2 linked regions of the Styela clava genome follow. The protein of the gene in region 1 binds, or shares a complex with, the protein of each later gene. Links are inferred from orthologs where the notes say so. Each region holds a gene or a part of one and is shown in the gene's direction. Other genes may lie near its edges.

Region 1 (3,757 bases):
TTAAGAATTATTTTTGCATCCGACTCTGTGGAACAAGTTATATACTCTGACAAGAGTAGAATGTTGACAGTCATGTATTTATATTTAGTGAAAACTATAATTGCTAATAACGTCATTCAATGAGTGAGTTTTCTAATTACCGCAAATGGCAATGTTTAATGTATTTGCATCAGGAATCTTTATGGTTATAATTTGTGGTATCCCCTTGAGAATGAATTTCTGACTTTATGAGAAGCTATGATATATGTTGGTGTTGTCTTCATTTTCCTATGTACATTATTTCATTCACTTTATTATTATGTTGAGATGCTTTATATTTGGCTTCCCAAAAACTTTAAAATTTCATTTTAAACAACTATTCTTAAGCGAAAGTAGTATTTAGAAAATTTGTGTATATTTATTAAATTCTGTCATATTATTGACCTGCTGAAAAACTTTTCTGAAATTGAGATATTTCTAATTATGTTGTGTGGTTCGTGATTCAATATAGATTGAATAGATATAGATACATTGTTTTGAGATCTTATTTGTTCACTGAAACGAAAGCAGAAATACATACTTATGTGTCGAATACTTGTTTGTTTACCCAGTTGTTCTTTTTTTATTATAACATTCTTCTTTTTGATTGTTTTCTTCTTGTTTTCTCTGGTTTATAAATGCAGCTACTTCGGCATTTTTTCCACATAAATATGCTCATACGAGTTTGAGTTCTCTGTAATTCATTTTCTTGTTGAATGTGCTGAATTTTGCCATTGTTCATCAAATCATGATATCGGCAAATTTTTGTGAGAAATTTATTATAAATCCTGATCTTTCTGAAAATGCAAAATTTCAACTGCATAACTTAGATTTGGATTTTCCAAAATATAAAAACATCTTTTCAATTGTCGATTGTTTTTTCAAATTTTGTAAACTTGTAATATTGGTCACTTTATTTTCATTTATAAATAGCCTGTTGTGGCAGAAAATTTTTCCACTTTTTGTATCTTATGCCCTATTTGTCAATTCATTGTGTAAAATGTGAAACTTGGAAAACTTTCCTATTGCTCTGAAGATATTTTTGAAGGCTGTATTGTACAAAATTGAATTAGTATTTACATTCAGTGGTGGCAAATTTGTGCCAGCGGCTGCTTTGATTTGATAGGTCCTGTGTTTTAACTTCACAAACTTCTTTCTGATATAAATGGCTAATTATAAATGACACAGATTTAATTATTTCTGCATTTGAATTGTCCTTTTTTGCAGATTTTTATGCTGTACTTATTTAGTAATCTAATTTATTGTTTATATTTAAGCCAAAATGTTCAATTTAAAACTGAATTCTGCATTAGCTCGTAGACTTTCGAAAGGTTCCTCACTTGGTTTCAATTGCTTGAATGCCAGGACAAATGCAACGGCCACTCATGATGCCGATTTGACAGTGATAGGATCTGGACCAGGCGGTTATGTCGCTGCTATCAAAGCTGCCCAGCTAGGAATGAAAACTGTTTGCGTAGAAAAGAGTCCAACCCTAGGTGGGACATGTTTGAATGTTGGGTGTATACCATCGAAAGCTCTTCTAAATAATTCTCATTTGTACCATCTTGCACATGGAAAAGATTTTGAATCCAGGGGGATTGAAGTTTCCAATGTTTCTGTTAATCTGGAAAAAATGATGGGACAAAAATCATCTGCTGTAAAGGGTCTCACCGATGGTGTTGCTGGATTATTCAAGTTCAATAAAGTTACGCATGTTCGTGGTCATGGTATGATTAAAAGTCCAACACAGGTGATAGCTACAAATGAAGAAGGAAATAGTGAAGTTATCAATACAAAAAATATATTAATTGCTACTGGCTCTGAAGTTACACCATTCCCCGGTATTGAAGTTGATGAAGAAAGGATTATTTCATCAACCGGTGCTCTAAGCTTGAAAGCGATTCCAAAAAGATTGATTCTTATTGGTGCTGGAGTAATCGGTGTTGAGCTAGGATCTGTCTGGTCAAGATTAGGTTCTGAAGTAACTGCGATAGAATTTCTTGGACATGTTGGGGGAATGGGTATCGACATGGATGTTTCGAAAACGTTTCAACGTACTTTAAAGAAACAAGGAATGAATTTTAAACTCAATACGAAAGTGATATCTGCTGATAAAACAGACTCTTGTATCAAAGTTAATGTTGAGGCTGCAGCCGGAGGTAAACCAGAAACATTAGAATGTGATGTTCTGCTTGTTTGTATCGGTCGTAGACCATATACACAGGGACTGGGATTAGAAAATGTTGGAATAACAGCAAACAAACAAGGAATCATCTCTGTTGATGAAAGGTTCCAAACAAGCTGTCCAGGTATATATGCCATCGGTGATTGCATTCCAGGTCCTATGCTTGCCCATAAGGCTGAGGATGAAGGTATTATATGTGTAGAAGGTTTAACTGGTGCACCAGTCCATATTGACTACAATTGTGTGCCTTCTGTTATTTATACTCACCCAGAAGTTGGATGGGTTGGCAAAACTGAAGAAGATTTAAAGGAGGCAAATATTCCTTACAAAGTTGGTAAATTTCCTTTCGCAGCTAATAGCCGAGCAAAGACAAATGCTGACACTGATGGATTTGTAAAAATTCTCAGTCACAAAGAGACCGACAGAATATTGGGAGCTCATATCATTGGTGGAGGTGCTGGCGAAATGATCAATGAAGCCGTTCTTGCGATGGAATATGGAGCTTCATCTGAAGATGTTGCAAGAGTTTGTCATGCTCATCCAACACTGTCGGAAGCTTTTAGAGAAGCGAACTTGGCTGCATATTTTGGCAAACCAATCAATTCATTTTAATGTCTATCTATTTGGAAATATTTTTGGCTTTATATAAATATTTAAATAATGCAATGAGTTCACTCTTACAAACAGGTTGAATATTTAATGATAAATACACAATGTAGGGTATGGGATAGGCAACAATATGGCTATGTAATAAATTGATTCAATTTATTCTTTGAGTCATTTATACTTTGTTTTCACCAGATATGGAATTATTAAGATGACTAATATGAAAACTTTGGTCTTTGTTTATGACAGCATTTCATTATTGCAACTGTGTATTATTCTCTAATGGGTATTGCCACGATGATATGAAATGATCCTCAAGTAATGAACGAACATTACAAAAAAAGGAGTTAGACTGCTGTTCTTCTCGCACACTTGTTTAAATTTCTCATTTGCAATTCTTTGTGCCCTGGACTTGTGCGAAAATATTTCTTTTGTTTTCATTCCACAATGTTATCAATCTTGCATATTGGTTAAATTTTTTCCGGGAATGGTTTTCATGCCCATTCTTGGCAAGATGCGAGATGCTGAATTAGTTTAAATCAAGAATTTCATATCTCTGTATCTGGCCAGGTAATAAAATAAATGCATATTGATGGTCTGTTATAAAGAGTTTCCATTTCCTCCAGTTTTTTGTCATCTTCAGTCTTTTCATTGCGATTCGAGAGTTATTTTTTCTTTATGTTAAAAATGCATATTATTCATAAATTTAGTGTTTTAGCTGTTTTAATTCAATAATTGTGAAGTCACCATGAATGCAAGTGCAACCATACACAATAATGGGAAAAGCAGTCGTGGGATCAGATGAAATATTTTGAAAAAATGTGTGAATATCCTAGTTTTGTATTTCCAACTCACACTCGTGGTTACAGTAAACACAATCAACAAGCATTTACAGATTATGGATGCTGGGAATCTGTGGACATTGATGTTGATGAGGTGGGTTGCGAA
Region 2 (3,757 bases), on another chromosome or scaffold:
CGAAAACGAGGTAATGTTTACAATCACGCTTGAAAATCTGTCTGAGTGAGAAAAGTGTCAGAGCGGATGCGAAAAGGGGGCATTGTTACGTCACTTTTTGCATCTTGCTGATTGGCCAATGTCACGAAGTAAACAAGGAAGTCCATGCTCGGGGAAAGGTCCATTGCATTTGCCTTGCCGTTGTTGTAAGAGTGATAGGATAGGATTTACATATTTATCCCGGGGGAGAGGAAAGCCGATAAGACGGCTTATCCATATGGCGAACCACGGCCTCTCGTCCGGTTACCATTCCAAGTCGGGTATGGGATTAGTTTTACTGTATTGTTTGTTTTCGGGAGCATGGACTTGGTGGTGGAGGAAGCCGTAACCGACCAGCGGTTACGTGAACCACCACCACGTTATAATTGTATGTCATATTGTATTTGTAATCAAGCCGTCCACCTTCAGTCAGTCAGTAGTTTATTTTTACCGAATGTAAACATTGACGAACAAAATTAAGAAAAATAAAAAATCGCATTTCATTGTGAAAGGAGACGCGATAAACCAGAGATGGTTATCGAGCAGCGTGACCGCGCTGAATTGACTAGTGCTTAATTTAGTTTAGGCTAACAGAAAAGTAAGTTTTGGCTATCTGCTTACAAATTCTATTTAATCATCTGTGCAAAATCCATAAAAATAATCTAGCCATTTGCATCTCCATGGCTCTGTGAGCACGAATTTTCTGCTCTGACTCAAATTAATATTTATATCTCACTTTTTGCATCTTGTTGATTAGCCAATGTCACGAAGTGACATTAGAATACAGAAACAAGGAATGCTCGGGAAAGGTCCATTGTGTGCCGTTTATCTATTCTTGGCACTAATGTGGCTCGAGAACAATGCGAAAATAATTTTGTGACCCCCGACATTGATAAACTTGGATCACGCAGTACCAATAAACATTATTAAAATATTATCTCTAAAATATCAGGCCTCTCTGTACGAAAAGTACCGCACCTGCCGGTATCGGGCAGGATTGTATGCCCAACGAAGTAGGCATACGTTGTACACTCGTCACGCTCGTATATATAGGCTTTGGTATACATCGCATACCGGTGTACATCAGCCGCAGGCCTAAATCAATTATATTCACTTGTTAATCATCTTGTATTGTTGAAAATATTAACCAGCTGTGTATGCATATGGCCTTCATCGCTTTCAAACATTGGTTGGGTCACATTTGGCTTGTGGCATCCTTGCAAATCCTATCCTTGTTGCTGTGTTGGGTCACCCTACAGATGCTGCAATGAATGCCATTACCGTACTAACCTTGAAAAGCGAAGCCACTAGGGCTGTAGGGTCAGACTTGACGTTCATCCTGTTTTTATTGCTACGAATGATCTGATGTCTTTTCGGTTGTTAGAATAACAGCTCTGGTGCGGTACAGTACCAGTCTGCCAGTGTATTTCAAATAGCCTAGTTTGTTCTGAAGTAAAGAAGCATTTGGGAAAAGCGTTTGTTTTGAAAAGAAAATGAAAACTGAGGAAAGTTTAAATATATTTTCTTGTGATTTCAGATTCTAAACACTTTTTCATAGTTTGGCTCACATAAGAATAACAAATTTTAAAAGGTATTATTTATGAACGGTAATGTATTATGATTAAATCAAGGATCTTCGCGAGGCGATTTTTTCATACTGCCAGATGCAAAAAGGTAGACTTCCTTCGCAAATCTTGCAATGTGCGGACACTGCAACAGTGTAGTCAGATAAAATCTAAAATACTGTTCGTCAGACATTTTCATAACAGTCGAAACTCATGGATGCCTGTCGTTTCATTCAATTTATCCGATATTGGTGAAGGAATAAAAGAAGTTGAACTAACAGAATGGTTTGTTCAAGAAGGAGATGAAGTTGCTCAATTTGACAGCATTTGTGAGGTGATGCTTTTATAATAACTTCAGCTGAATATGCCTACTTGATGCATATATTTTTACACTTCATTAATTTGATAAATTTACACTGATTCGTCTTACAGCTTATAATACAGTAATAAAGTGTGCCTAGTAAGAGTGAAATATGCAAAAATTATCGAACCACCCCACTGGAAGTACTTGTGGTACTATACCAGACCCGGAAGAATTGAAGATGTAGGCTACCGATATATCGGACATTTTTTCGGTATTGGCATAAATGAGACTGATATGTTCAGCTCTTTGATCTGATCTAGAATGTTTTGAAGTATAGGTAAGAATACATATATTGATAACTGAAATGTGCAAAAAAAAGGTCGATAACCATGGATCTAAAATTTGTTTATTACTCACTAAACAACGAAGATTCTATAGGCTATATAGCTGCAATTTTAACAATTTATTTATTTCGTTTCTAAGGTGAAGAGTGATAAAGCTTCAGTGACGATTACCAGCAGATTTGATGGCGTTATCAAAAAACTCCATCATGAAGTTGACGATATAGTATTAGTTGGGCAAGCCCTCGTTGATATTGAGACTTCTGGATCATCAGATGATGATAACCAAGATGAAGAAGAAGGTATTTAAACAGTCATAAAATCATTTACAGTCATTCTCATAACCCAGACAAAGATTGCTTGATCTATTAATTTATTTCACTTACAAACCAAGTTAGGAAGCTGTTTCAAATAATTATTTTTTTTGAGGTTTGTCTATATCCAAGAATTATTTTTCAGTATTTATATTTCTGATATTCATAATGATTTCCACAATCGTTGTGAGGCTACTCCAAACACAAATCTTCATTTCCTTTCCATGTGTCACACCTAATCTGGAATTTGGGTTTGCTTTGTTGTGTTTGCAAATTATGATTACCGATGAATGTTCATAACCGAGTGGCTTTTTTTATTTTTGTTGCTTCTATATAAGATTGTTGGGTCAAATTGGCATTGGAGCATATTTCAAGTCAGAAGTATTTTGTGATTTATTTGGTTTATCCAAGTTCATATTGTGTTGTTTACATAAATTTCTGCACTGATTATTTCAGTATCAGAAAAAGTTATTGTTGATAGAGATGATGAAGAAAATATAAATTTAATTACAAAGAAAGCGCTTGCATCCCCTGCTGTCAGAAGTCTTGCAAAGAAGAACAGTTTAGACATATCTACAATACAGGTACGTGTTTTATTTCACGGTGAAAAGTTTTTTAATTATGGTATGTTAATTCGCAACTCAGATGTATCATCGAATATTGCTCAAAACCAGGATTATATCTATTAGACTTTTCGACTGAAGTCACTTTTTTCTCAACCTGTCAATTATGTAGTTTAAATGGAGGAGATCACTAAAAAATTTTCCAGCAGTCAGTTTATCCTGCTTTTGATGTGTTTATTTATAATCATTACAGTATGCTGGTTTATTTAACATACTACTTTTTCACAGTACCTATTTAAATCAATTGACATGAAGTAATAAATATAGTACAAGGCCAACCAAATTAAGCAATCTAAGTGGAACACAATCTGAGGAAAGAACAAAACAGTTAAATCATGCAATGAAATGTATTGTAACGTTCAGTACCCTAAGAAAGTTATCTTTTTGGCATTATTATTAATAACAACAAGCTGCTTTTACAACCTAATGCAGTTCGAATCTTGTTTTTCGACTTATGTATATTGTATCAGGTTATATACTTTAGTCATAATGATATTATAATCTTAAAATATAGCTCTTGCCTGAATATACCTGACTGCTAATGTGAAATAAACTACATTATATTCATCTATTATACAGTAATAAGAGGAAT

What was found.
Region 2: the proteins of dihydrolipoyl dehydrogenase, mitochondrial-like (region 1) and lipoamide acyltransferase component of branched-chain alpha-keto acid dehydrogenase complex, mitochondrial-like are in contact, whole or in part, in a crystal structure (PDB 3RNM), measured with the Homo sapiens proteins. The link is inferred for Styela clava from reciprocal best matches to the Homo sapiens genes DLD and DBT. Residues at the interface, in NP_000099.2 of Homo sapiens: Ser446, Thr447, Asp448, Arg449, Glu472, Tyr473, Gly474, Ser476, Glu478, Asp479, Arg482; in NP_001909.4 of Homo sapiens: Thr174, Pro175, Ala176, Lys196, Arg199, Leu201, Lys202, Glu203, Leu206.

What each region holds. Positions count from the first base shown.
Region 1 is NC_135252.1:10,599,983-10,603,739, forward strand, and holds dihydrolipoyl dehydrogenase, mitochondrial-like, read left to right. Parts: upstream 1-1,296; 5' UTR 1,297-1,300; coding exon 1,301-2,815; 3' UTR 2,816-3,519; downstream 3,520-3,757. Other genes in the region: uncharacterized protein LOC120343183, read left to right, coding at 3,611-3,745. UniProt on the Homo sapiens protein: Lipoamide dehydrogenase is a component of the glycine cleavage system as well as an E3 component of three alpha-ketoacid dehydrogenase complexes (pyruvate-, alpha-ketoglutarate-, and branched-chain amino acid-dehydrogenase complex).
Region 2 is NC_135260.1:16,251,348-16,255,104, forward strand, and holds the start of lipoamide acyltransferase component of branched-chain alpha-keto acid dehydrogenase complex, mitochondrial-like, read left to right. Parts: upstream 1-1,532; 5' UTR 1,533-1,635; coding exon 1,636-1,917; intron 1,918-2,370; coding exon 2,371-2,530; intron 2,531-2,998; coding exon 2,999-3,126; intron 3,127-3,757. UniProt on the Homo sapiens protein: The branched-chain alpha-keto dehydrogenase complex catalyzes the overall conversion of alpha-keto acids to acyl-CoA and CO(2).